Linked DNA regions of Arabidopsis thaliana. The protein of the gene in region 3 interacts with the protein of the main gene of each other region in a pairwise test. Each region holds a gene or a part of one and is shown on either strand. Other genes may lie near its edges.

Region 1 (5,290 bases), on a different chromosome or scaffold from region 3:
TGAGTCATGGAGTTGCTTTAGGCGGTGCTGCTGCTTTGTCTCTTCAGAAAAGCATGTACCCACTTACCTCTCTCTTAACGGCTCCATTGCTCACCAACTACAATACATTGGATCCTCTTGCAGACCCTATTCTCTGGACACCATTTCTTCCTTCAGGATCCTCTCTTACTTCAGAGGTTCGTAGTCATATATCTATAGAACCAGAGACTTCAGAGGTTACTACAACACATCTTCCTTATGTCATTTTCTTTGGCTCTCTTTCTTCTGCAGGTGACAAAGACAGAGACCAGCTGTTCCACGTACAGCTACCTCCCACAAGAGAAATGAGCCGTTCCCTTTAGACTTTATGTATGTCAGATTCTCCTTTTTTGAGATGAATTCGTCGACTTGACATCTCTTTGTCTCTTTTATGGAGAAAAAGTTGGGAAAAGTGTGACAATGGTCTGAAGCAGGAATGTACAGGTTTTGTTAGTGGTTGTGTTTTTTTTTTTCCAGTGTGGAATATAGAATCATGATATTTTGTGTAAAACAGAAAAAAGTTATCATTATAGTATAGAAGTTTGCTCTTAATATTTCTGCACAAGGTATAATATAATTTGATTGTGACCGATCTAATTATTCATCTCTACCAAATGTTACGACTATGTATTATCACATCATCTGCACAAGACTTATCTAGCTTTGATACAACTAACTGAATCCTATTACCCAGACAGGGACTGAGTATATAATAGTTCCAATCGCAAAAGAAACCACAATGGTAAAAGATGCATACGCATAGGCTCTCCATGGGTAATCACTTTCTCTCATCGCATTGAACTCAGCCATGAAGGTCGAAACTGTGCTCAGACATCCCAACAGACCAAACTGTATGCTCGAAGCAACCGTGTTACATGTTCTCGTGTTCACCTGTTTCCCAAAATATATACAATGAATGTTATCTTTTGTGATTTGATCTGTTTGGTAGAGAGAGGAGGTGAGGAAGTTTATACCGATTTCTTCAAGGTAGCCAATGCTGCCATAACGCAAGCTGCAACTACATTTGCAATGAGGGTGCCAAATGGGACCCATCTCAAATTTTGACTATCCTTTCCCAGCCCACGTCCATTGAGTCGGGCTAAGAACCATCTGAGCCAGACACCAGGGGCTGCAACTAAGCAACCAAACCATAGCTGAGCCTCGCTTGTTCCTTTGTCAAACTCTTTCACAAGCAGTATGGAACTGGCAGTGAGTAAAGCCACAAGCAACAGAAGCATCAGGGTCAGAGACACAATATGGCTCTGGAAGGTGTTAACCTTAAGACAATGGAATTTATCCTCAGAAGAAGCTCTTCTATGAAGAAGCCATTTAAACCCTTTGGCCGTTTCCACTCCCAGAATTATGGAGTATGACGTGAGAAACAATCCTGTAAAGTCGTTTATGCTGTAAGCAAGTATGTTTCATCCAATTTAGTAGGTGATTGGAGATTGAGAAGGGAATTTTTTGTTTTTACCTAATAAAAAGCCAAGCACAGCATACACCCATTGACCATCAGCACTAAGATCCAGCATTTTCTGGTTCCAACCGCTGAATGTTGTCAGACTCCCCAAATAACCAGTCGATAATCCTATCGCCACAAATTCAGAAACTCTTGCTATATCTGCTTTGAATACAACGCCAAACCAACCCATCAAGAATGATCCTACCTATAAGGAAGCATTTGGAGAATTTTTATTAAGAAAGATAGGTTTGTAATTAAGTTTGAGATGAGTGCATTGCGACTTTCACCATGTTGGAGGGAAGATCAAGGTACAAGATGCTCCCATCACTTGTTACTCGAGCACCAGTTGGCCCAAACAATTTTTGCAGCAAATATCTCGTAATGGCCTGTATATTTGGAGTCAACGAGTTGATTATAATGATTTAAACAAAAACAAAGCACAACAGAGAGACAGACAGAAAATGGAAAATAAGCATTTTACCCCAAAAATCCCAAAAACAGCCAAATGAATTAGGCATGATATGTACTCCAAGGACTTTGGTAACACTCGCTCTTCCTCCTTTCCCTGTGCAACCCACGAGCTACAATAGATCAAAACATTGGACAAAGAAACCAATACTAACAATGATGTGACTATGCAAAGTTAGAGGTAGTCTCTACGGAGTTGTTTATTTCAGGTGACAAGAGTGACTTGGTCGGTAAAGGAGATGCTGTTATGTCCTCAGGCAAAGTTTTATTTACGGAAGCAGTGTTGAAAGCTCGAAGGTCATGTAATATATCTTGTTCTTGACGAGAAGTATCATGAGTCCCTTGTTCTATAAAATCATCAGCAGACAAACGGCTGCTTCTACCAGCACTATGCCTTCTCCGAAGTGAGCGGTCCCCAATATCCCCTGCCTCTGAGACACTCTCACTATCGACGTCATTGTCAATTAGGTGAGGCAAACTACGTGATAAGCTTAAAGAAGAGGCTACACTGCTCTCCCGACTAAAAGACTTGGCTTGATAAGGTTCTATGCTGCTTTGACCCGTATCCATAGGCGTTGTAGCCAAAGCATAAGATTCTTAAATGATGCTCCACCTGCACATATTTTAAGCCACAGCCACACACACAAGAAAGAAGACATGAAGGAATGTGCAAAAAGAGACAAGAGATAATCGAACAATGTGGCAAGTAAACATTCGAGAAATTCCTAATGCTTATTAAAGACACTGTTTGAAAAGTTTAGCTGTAATCTTCAAAACCATAGCTTTTTGATACTAAGACAACAAATTCAAAAAAGTTCACATATTCATGATAGATTATGACTTTAGTTTATTACTTTCTACAGAAGCAGAATAAGAATGACCTGGTGAAGGGATCCAAAAACAGTTTTCAAGATTTTGTCCTCCACTATCCCTTAAAACAAAAGATAAAAATTTACTTGCGTTTTAGTTAGTGGAAATCGAAAAAAAGGTAGACTAAAATAATCACTTGTTCACCAATAGAGAAAAAAACGAAAATCTTAAAAAGTTGTACAGGTGGCAAAGACGAATGAATACTTTTCTTAGATTGGGACCTGTTTTGGGTTTGGATTTTGAGCTAGACATTTAAAATTCAGCAGCTTTACCTAATGGCGAATTCAATCTTAATCGTGAAGAATCAAATTTGATCCCAAAAGTCGCCGGCGGAGAAATCGAGCTAACAGGAGACAATCGAAAACCATCAATTTATTCTCTGGTTTATTGGATGTTAAGGGAAGTAGGTTCGATTGTAGAAGATGGACGAACAACAAAGCAGAAGACGATTGTAACTTTGTTTAGTCGAACACACATGTACAGACAAGTAGAGTTGGTTTAGTCGGGAAAATCGCACCCTAAAAAAAACAAAAACAATACATAAGTTTTAAAATATTTCTAAATTATGGGCCACAAAGAGCTGGCCCAGTAGCCCCGCTTCTCATAACAGATTTTTTTTGTCTCTGGCGGATAACAAAAATATCCTTGGAAACGACAGCCCAAACAAAATCATCTTTAACATATATTTAGATGTTACTTGAAATTTGATCATATATTTTGAAAAAATCCAGATAAATTATTAAAAGTTAATGGTATTAAAAAAAAAGTTTCATTGTTTTTAGTTGAAGAAAATAGTGTCATTTTGATTCTACATTTGATATAATTTTACTAAAAATTGTTTTTTTTCTGTGTTAAAAAAAAACAGCATTTTTGAGGATTGAATATGAAGGTGGATTTCTTTAAAGTTGTGTCACAACTGATAAAAATAAAAATAAGAATCAAGTTGGGGAGTGGCAATGAAAGGAATAATTCTAATGGCGGCTTTTATTGGCAACCTTCGGAAAAATAATAAAAACATTCGTATACTTTGCCGTCAAACTTAGGAACGTCGTCGTTTTCGTCGTAATATAATTGGCGTAACGCAACTCTAAAACGAATCAGGATGTTCCACGTACACTACACTAGGCTTTTAATGTGGAGCCCGTGAGAGAGCCACCCCTACTTGGCATTGACGCAAAGATTTATATTTGGGTCAACATCAGCAACTGTACTTAAGTACTTATATATATTAATTATAAGATTATCTTCTTCTTTTTTTTTGGTTTAATATAAGATTACCTTCTTAATATCACGACAACTAATCTAATCTTCTCCTTATTTTTTGGGTTTTTTGATAGAAGAAGAAAGGTCCCGTAAATAAATGAAACAGTTTCGGAATTCTTCTATTTTTGTCGACCACTTGTGTTATCCGCAGCTAGTTGCAAAATTCTTTTGTTTGATTGTATAATCAAATTGATTAATGAATCAAATAAATTGGCAGGAAAAAAAAAAAAAAAAAAAAGGAAGCACAAATGTCAGTGAGGTGAGCCCAAGTCTTCGCCACCTCTCTCTGCTTTCTTAGTTTGCTACTTTGCTTTGCCTTTTCCCAAAGAAGAACCATAAAAGTATGATTTCTTATTGAAGCCAAGACTAGAATCTATCGTCTAGGGTTCTTTCTGGGTTCCAAGGAAAAATGGGTTCATCGAAGAGGCAATTCAAGGCCATGCTCCGCAAGAATTGGCTCCTCAAAACTCGTCATCCCTTCGTTACTTCAGCTGAGGTTTCTCTCTTTTTCTTTGCTCCTCAAAACTATGTCGTTTTCATGCTTATTCACTGCTCGTCTTAATGGGTCTTCTTCTCCTTGATGCTGAATGCAATTTTTGTTTTTAAAATTTCGAATTGTTGATCAAATTTTGCTTCTTTCTCTTATTCATTGGCAGATTTTGCTTCCGACTATTGTAATGTTGCTGTTGATAGCCGTCAGGACACGGGTTGACACCACAATTCACCCGGCTCACTCGTAAGATATCAGTTTTTTACACTCGTCACTAGCCTCTCTCTCTCTCGTACTAAAATTGGATTTTGATTTCGTTTTCTGCATTTTGTTCTGTTGATCATGAAAGGAACATAGACAAAGATACAGTCGTCGAAGTGGGCAAAGGCAACTCTCCTAGTTTTCCAGAAGTTTTGAAGCTTTTGCTTGCTGAGGGGGATTTTTTAGCTTTTGCACCTGACACTGATGAAACTAATAACATGATCGACATTTTGTCTCTTAAGTTTCCGGAACTGCGGGTAATCATCATCACGTCTTCATCTTATGCTGCATTCTAGATCGATAGTTACTCTTCATATGTCACACGTTTAATCGACCCTGTGTCTTCTGTTTGCAGCTAGTTACTAAAATTTTTAAAGATGACATAGAGCTGGAAACTTATATAACATCTGCGCATTATGGTGTCTGTAGCGAAGTGAGGTATGTTTTGTTCTTTTTTC
Region 2 (3,539 bases), on a different chromosome or scaffold from region 3:
ACCTTGTATTTGATTTTGTCTCTAGAGTTGACTAGTTTCTTACAATCACTGAATTTTCCTCTATTGTTTATCCACATGATGTATTTTTTTTGCGATACCATGTAGATTTTGGCTATTGCTACTTCCGGAGAGCTCTCTCTTTGTTTGTGAATTTGCTTCATCCTTCTGGTGAAGGTATACTTTTCATATCCTCTGCTTCTTCCTAATGCTGACCTAACTAAACCACTCCTTTTTCTCCACAGCTCATTTACAAGCATCCTGCCAAATGTTGGTTCTCTCAAATTCTGATTCCAAACCTGTACGCGTTCGCTGATTCAACTGTCATTTCGTTTCATAAGCCTATGACCTACCTTTAAGCGTTCGCGTTCGCCAGATGACTCGAATCTCCCGGAATATGAACCCGTGCAAATCCTCTGACCAGCGACTAGCGGAACAGTTTGGAATCACACAAACTATTTCTACTTCGACTCAAGAAAATAAGAAGGAGCAAAGCATCAAAGACTAGCATTGGTTTTTGCACACAAGCTTAACACAGAGTGTAAATGGATGGTGTGATATTTATGTACCATTTTCATAAAAACTGAGACTTTTGTGATTCATAAGACTTTTTCATCTAAAACTCTCTGATGATAGATAATCTACACAATTCAGTGAAATTGCCAGATTACAGCCATAGCCATTGATTCAAAAGCAAATTCCTTTGGCAAAAACAGATAATTATAAGAATCAACCCAGAATATTCAATTCATAATTAAGATTCCGATCCACAAATATCTCATACAAACAATTCTGAGAGAGAGAGAGAGAGAGAGAGAGAGAGAGATTCAGAATCAGACCTATTTCTTAGAGAATTTCTTCTTCGAAGCAACACTGACAACTTCTGGTTTGGGATGCTTCTCGGCTTCGCTCGGATCTAACCATTTGAGAGGATGAAGATTGTAGAAAGGCCAATTAGGTACAGTAACCAAAGTCGTGAGAACAACACCACCGGCATAGATCAGCATCATCGTCCTGAACGATTCCGTTGTGTAGCCAACAACCACCGCTACAACGCCGGAGATCACCAGTAAGATCTGCATCAGCTGCTCCACCAGTTTCTGTCCTTGCCAATCCATTTTCTTCTACACAACGAAATCAAAAACCATTAGCGATTTGAATCCAAAGTTAAACAAAAGAGAGAATCTGAGAACCCTAATTGCACAAACCTTTAGCGATCTGATCTCTCACTGAATCTGTAAACCTGATTTTCAACAATGGGGAAGAAAAGAAAGGACTCTTGACATTTATGAGCTAAGACCACAAAATCGGTTTAAAAGTAAACCGGATAAAGTGGACGGTCAGATTACTCTATAACCGGGTGAACCGGCGGTTTTTAATGTGCCTTAATTATTTCGAGATTTTGTATATGTGCAAATTCTGAAACCTTGAAACAAGGAATATTTACATTTAAGTTTCTTTGTGTGTACCTCAGAATTAGAATGTTGCTACTTGTCCAGTCCATAATTTGTTTATTGGGACAACAACTTCAGTGATTAGATAATGTTTACTATTTTATAGACTGGTGTGACCAGATTGTAGCTTTAGCAGTGACCAGTATTCATAAACCAAAATCAAAGTTTTGGAGAACCAAGATCCATGGCATGTAGCTAAAAAGATTTGCATCAATTTAGAAGTCATAATTAAGATTTCTTCTCTTTACTAATGATAATTCAAGATACAAGCAATACATCAATAGGCCTTCTATTAACAACTCTACAATTAAACCTAATCTCACCAGGTCTCCCAGATTGCAAATCACCCAACTTCACCATGCCTTCTGCAAAAGCCCTAAAGAACTCATCTTGATCCTCACTAAACATCTTCACATACTCTCTCGTCACTAGATTCGTGTACAAAGTCTGATCAGAGTTAAGAAACCCTCTCCCTGAAACCAAGTCTTTGAAATACTGATTATCAAAAACCTGAGGTGTTGCATCTAGATCTCCAGTCACATTCTCATCTCCACCCAAAGGACAAAGCTTATCAAGCTTCTTACGGTAACTCGGTTCAAGAGCTGGATCCGGTTTACCAGAACCGGATTGGTTATAAAGTCTGAACATGATTGAAAAACACCGACCTTGACCTATTGAGTGTGACCCTGATAAAGCAACCATGTCTTTTACAGAAAGATTGAATCTTTCGAAGAGATCAATCAAGAAAGTTGCGTTGGCTCTTGGACTTGGCATTATATCGTCGGAATCTTGCTGACTCGCTGTTAAACTGTCTTTCCTCCCTAGCTTCACTTCCCAATCTGGTCCTCCTGTCTGGTTTTTTCAAAGACCAAAATTACAAAACCGAGATTTCACTAAACCGGGGAAATTGAATTTTGACTTACAAGAGCAACGGCGTCACGAGCGGCCATGATAACGATATCGGCACAAGAAACAGTAGCTGGACAAGCTTTCTCTAGAGCTTCTTTAATGTCGTCAACGACTTCGAAAGATCTTAGTGAATCGATGTTGGAAAGTGATAGTTTTTCACCAAGCATGTTTGGTGTGTCGTCAAGCAACAGAGATGCGTCACATCCCTGAATTTGATGATTCAAAGAAAAATTCAGAGAGGAAAACAGAGTAAAGATCAAGAACAGAGAGAAAGATTTATAGTGTTTACATTGACGAAACAGTCGTGAAATTGGAAACGCATGACGGAAGCGACGCTTCTTGCTTCTTTGATCATTGCTTTCTTCATTTCTCTTCTTACTATGGATTCAGCTTCAGGGCATGTCTCGCTGTAGAATCTTGGTCGGAGAGTTTCTCCAGTAACAACCACCGTCAAAAGTGTTAGGTAGAGGATGAGATGGGGAAGAAGAGACATACTTTTTTCTTTTTTGGTGTTGTGTTTCAGTGATTGAAGAAGAAGTAGAGACTTTGTTTGTTGGGTTATAAAGAGGTTTTTGGTGGTTTTCGAGAATGATACTAAAGGCTTTTGTGTTTATAGATGGAATTTGTGCAAGTGTGGTCTCTGGTGGTGGTGGGCATTCCAATTTCTATAATTTATTTCTTTAATAAATAGAAATAAATAAATAAATAAATAAAGAAATAAATTTTCTAATTATAGAATTGGTGCCAATGGGGGATTAGTGTAGTAATTTGGTAAAATTATGGGTTTGTGAAATTATTGAATGATGAATCTGAAGTAATGTTAAATGTTTGTTAAGTTTGGATTATTGCAGTGTATATTAGCTGGCAAAAATAAAGAAGATAAAAGGATAATTGATCAAATTTTTTTTATAAAGGTGTGAAACTTTTGTACGTAATTGTTAAAATTGGTAAAACATCCATTATACAGTATTTAGATGAACAGTACTACTCTCTTTGTTTATTATTGTATTTTGTAGGAAATTTTTTTGATTCGAAAAGATAGTCATTTTTAAAATTTCTATGCAATATTTATTACTAGTTATTATTGATGTGTAAACTTCAAGAAGAATAATATATTTCTAATCAACTTTTAATATGTTTTTTAAGATGTGTGAAAATCCTAAAAATACATTAATAAGA
Region 3 (4,127 bases):
GCTAGCTCTTTATGCATGTGAGGGATTTGGCAAACAGCTTCAGCTCCCATGGTGGGGACTTTTACTCGCTTGTGCCATCGCCTTTACCTTCACTTTGCCTATTGGAGTTATCCTAGCGACCACAAACCAGCGAATGGGTCTTAATGTTATATCGGAACTGATCATCGGGTTCTTGTATCCGGGAAAGCCACTTGCCAATGTGGCTTTTAAGACTTATGGTTCTGTGAGTATAGCTCAAGCCTTGTACTTTGTCGGAGACTTCAAACTTGGCCACTACATGAAGATTCCTCCGAGATCTATGTTCATCGTTCAACTCGTTGCGACTATTGTTGCTTCAACTGTCTCCTTCGGGACCACATGGTGGTTGCTTTCTTCAGTCGAGAACATCTGTAACACAGATATGCTCCCAAAGAGTAGTCCGTGGACTTGCCCTGGGGATGTAGTGTTCTACAACGCGTCGATCATTTGGGGAATCATCGGTCCTGGAAGGATGTTCACAAGTAAAGGTATATACCCCGGGATGAACTGGTTCTTCCTCATTGGCTTCCTTGCTCCTGTCCCGGTCTGGTTCTTTGCAAGGAAATTCCCGGAGAAGAAGTGGATACATCAGATTCATATTCCCTTGATCTTCTCAGGGGCTAATGTGATGCCAATGGCCAAGGCTGTGCATTACTGGTCGTGGTTCGCTGTTGGGATCGTGTTCAACTACTATATCTTCAGGAGGTACAAGGGATGGTGGGCAAGGCATAACTACATCCTCTCTGCAGCTCTTGATGCAGGCACTGCGGTTATGGGAGTGTTGATCTACTTTGCGTTACAGAACAATAACATAAGCTTACCAGATTGGTGGGGGAATGAGAACACAGACCATTGCCCTTTGGCAAATTGCCCAACAGAGAAAGGGATCGTCGCTAAGGGCTGCCCGGTGTTCTAAAACCTTGTTGCAGTTTAACATTATCTCTGTAGTTTCTCATACCTGCAGGTGAGGGACAGTTACTGCAAAGTCGTTTGGTGGCCATAATAATAATAATGCGTAAAGACTTTGTGAGAGTTTAAGTGATAAAGTAAAAAATGGTTTGCAAATTAAGAACACCCAAAGATGATAGCTCTAACACAAATTTCAATCAAAGAGAGTATAATTTCAGGACAAAGCAAAACAAGGCTAAAAGTTTCCATCTTTTTCTAATTGAATAACACTAAGATCTGTGAACAACTTCCGTTCCTGTCAATTTCAAGCAATCAAGAACCAAATTTGTCACCTTCTATTGAACTCAGGAAAACTCCTAAATTGTGCAATTTAACGTACATGTCAAACGTAATCAGATCCTAAGATTCATAGTTAGGTTTTTCAAACCTTCGAAGTCATCATGAGAGAGATCTCCAGAGGAGGCAGGAGATGGAGGACAAGCTTGATGTACTCATTATGGGAGAGCTCAAACTTGAGCTAGTAGAGCTACGCCATTATTTCCCAAGCTCACCTTTGTTTGACTCGATCACAAAACTCAGTGAGTCAGACTCAGTTCAACGACCCTCTAATTTGGATACCCGTTTACGCGGCCCAACCCGGCCCAATACTGGATTTTGAATTTTTTTATGTTTAATGATTTTCTTATAAATATTTGGCTTTGCGTAGAGGGAGAGAGGGAGAGAGGGAGGAGAGATGGCGTTGTCTAACCAAAAAAAAAACGAGAATAGATAAAGCAGCAGCGGTTGCTGTCGGAGTTTTGCTTCGAAGACAAAAAACTAAGGTTGTTAGGTTTTATAGGCCAACGGTTTATGTTCTCCTACTTCTCTGCTTCTTCTGCATTCTTCAATCCTAAGCAAAAATCCATTTGTGGACGTCACTATCAAACGGCCAACTTCACCTTCTCTGACAATATCACTACACCTTCCTTTCTTCTTCATCTCTTCTATCTTCACTATTTTTTTACCAAAATCTTCTCCATCTGCTGGGTTCACACCAAAACCTACACTTTTTGGTATGTTGCTCTGTTTCGCAGAGTGAAGATAAGGTATTTGATGAAAATGCCTCACTGATATATCCATCCATGTCTTTTTTTTTACATGTACTTTAATTGCATATTTTAAAGACTTTTCATGGCTTTTTAGCTCAAGCTTTACTCTGTTTCTCTTTGCTCTTGTTCAGGAGATCAAATCAAAGACCTCTCTGTTTCCGATATGAGTACCCGTTATTCCTCTCAGTTGCAATCATCAGCCATTAACTCCATCACTGTCTCCTCATCTTCTTCCTTCGCTTCCACGCAACTGGATGATAACACTCACACGGCTCCGGAGAGCTCTCCATCTTCTTCCTTCTTCATGAGACTTGCCATGAGGGTATCTAGAGCAAGGTGGTTCATTTTCTTGAGAAGAGTCTTTCATTACCAGAACGCCTCAAGATCCGATCTTGGCACCAATCCTTTCAATTCTATCGCTTGGATGGTATCAGAGCTCATCGCTTTACTTTTACAGATCACTGTGATAACATCCACACTAGCTTTGTCCAAAAACGAGAGGCCTGTTTGGCCGATGAGGTTATGGATCACTGGCTACAACGTTGGATGTCTGCTCAATCTTATGTTACTATACGGTCGGTATCGTCAGCAAGATACTAGCCATGAAAATGCATTTAGCTTCGGCGATATTGAGCAGCAACAAAGAAGCAGGGAAGAGACCACCAGGTTACTAACAAAAATCTAGTTTTTTCAAGTTTGATCATAAAATGCAAAGATTTCTAGGAAAATGACTTATTTTTGTGTGTGTTTTAGGTGCTCGCATTTGATGAACAAATGCCGGACATCGCTGGAGCTATTCTTTGCGATATGGTTTGTGATAGGTAATGTATGGGTTTTTGATTCTCGGTTTGGTTCTTTCCACTATGCTCCAATCCTTCATGTCCTCTGCATCTCCCTACTCGCTTGGAACGCTCTCTGTTACTCCTTCCCATTTCTTCTCTTCCTCCTGCTCTGTTGTGTTGTACCTCTCGTTAGTAGCTTCCTCGGCTACAACATGAACGTTGGATCTTCGGAAAAAGGAGCTTCAGATGACCAGATCTCCAGTCTCCCAAGTTGGAAATACAAACTCATTGATGAAACTTCTGATTCTTCTCAAGCAAACAATGATCCGGTAAGCACTAATTTGAATTCTGAAATAGGTCAAATAGTCAGAAATCAATCTTGATATCAAAACTGAAACCCACCGGTTTCATTATTGCAGGAATGTTGTATATGTTTGGCAAAGTACAAAGAGAAAGAAGAAGTGAGAAAGCTTCCATGTTCGCATAGGTTTCACCTCAAATGCGTAGATCAATGGCTTCGTATCATCTCGTGTTGTCCTCTTTGCAAACAAGATCTCCCTAACTGAAAAATCAAAACAATACATGAGTCACAAGATTGAATCTCTGACCAAGTACCATATATGTGTTTTTTTTTTTTTCTGTTGCCGCCTAAACACGTTTACTTGTGTGAATGTCGTTATCATTCCTTTTTTTTTCTTGTGTACAAAGTAGCTCACCAGTAACTGTAATTTTACCTAAAAAAAAAGTTAAAAAACATGATCAATCTGTTGTTTTACCAGTAGAGTTTGTCCCTCTCTTACCATTAATCAAAGTTTTAATTGTTGGTTAATGTAACTAAGCTTATACTGGTTTTTGCTATAATATTTTTTCCAAAGACAATTTAAACCGAATTCAAACCCAGAGACCAAATCAGACCAAAGCAACAGTCAGAATCCGAATAACATGACACGCCGTCGTATAGGAACGATTATTGAAACGATGGTGTTTAAGACAGCGCATAAATGGACACATGCTCCACTAGACGACGACGTGTGAAAGTGAATGTAACAAGGAGTTTTATTACAACTGTATCAACATCGAGTAAAAATAAACAAAATTATTTATTTTTTAAATTTAAAAAGTATAAAAACGCCAACAAACAAAAATAATTTGGTCTTTTTCTTAGCATATTTAAAATTTTGCAATATATTCATTCTGCTTATAGAAAATCGTGTCGACCTTTTTTCTCTCACTTACCCAATAAGAGCTTTTTTCGCGTTTTCCACCGCAACCACCGTCACCTTCAACCGCCGGAGCCGCCGCAAGGAAGGCTCATCATCCGCCGTGGCGT

The links. Proteins that work in one complex are often made in the same cells at the same time.
Region 1: the proteins of AT4G26580 (region 3) and AT2G41705 interact in a protein complementation assay, tested with the Arabidopsis thaliana proteins (one large-scale study listed by BioGRID).
Region 2: the proteins of AT4G26580 (region 3) and AT2G22425 interact in a protein complementation assay, tested with the Arabidopsis thaliana proteins (one large-scale study listed by BioGRID).

The regions. Positions count from the first base shown.
Region 1 is NC_003071.7:17,395,311-17,400,600, reverse strand, and holds AT2G41705 (camphor resistance CrcB family protein), read right to left. Parts: upstream 3,332-5,290; 5' UTR 3,091-3,331; exon of another isoform or gene 2,562-3,090; 5' UTR 2,519-2,561; coding exon 2,141-2,518; intron 2,046-2,140; coding exon 1,962-2,045; intron 1,867-1,961; coding exon 1,768-1,866; intron 1,686-1,767; coding exon 1,493-1,685; intron 1,406-1,492; coding exon 993-1,405; intron 910-992; coding exon 691-909; 3' UTR 520-690; downstream 1-519. Other genes in the region: AT2G41710 (Integrase-type DNA-binding superfamily protein), read left to right, coding at 1-341; ABCA1 (ATP-binding cassette A1), read left to right, coding at 4,491-4,577, 4,738-4,817, 4,921-5,089, 5,188-5,270.
Region 2 is NC_003071.7:9,512,655-9,516,193, reverse strand, and holds AT2G22425 (Microsomal signal peptidase 12 kDa subunit (SPC12)), read right to left. Parts: upstream 1,500-3,539; 5' UTR 1,206-1,499; intron 1,122-1,205; 5' UTR 1,116-1,121; coding exon 837-1,115; 3' UTR 520-836; downstream 1-519. Other genes in the region: AT2G22420 (Peroxidase superfamily protein), read right to left, coding at 1,710-2,303, 2,375-2,566, 2,650-2,853. UniProt on the Arabidopsis thaliana protein: Component of the signal peptidase complex (SPC) which catalyzes the cleavage of N-terminal signal sequences from nascent proteins as they are translocated into the lumen of the endoplasmic reticulum. Dispensable for SPC enzymatic activity.
Region 3 is NC_003075.7:13,410,941-13,415,067, reverse strand, and holds AT4G26580 (RING/U-box superfamily protein), read left to right. Parts: upstream 1-1,624; 5' UTR 1,625-2,012; intron 2,013-2,038; exon of another isoform or gene 2,039-2,146; 5' UTR 2,147-2,178; coding exon 2,179-2,681; intron 2,682-2,768; coding exon 2,769-3,126; intron 3,127-3,216; coding exon 3,217-3,363; 3' UTR 3,364-3,621; downstream 3,622-4,127. Other genes in the region: OPT5 (oligopeptide transporter 5), read left to right, coding at 1-934.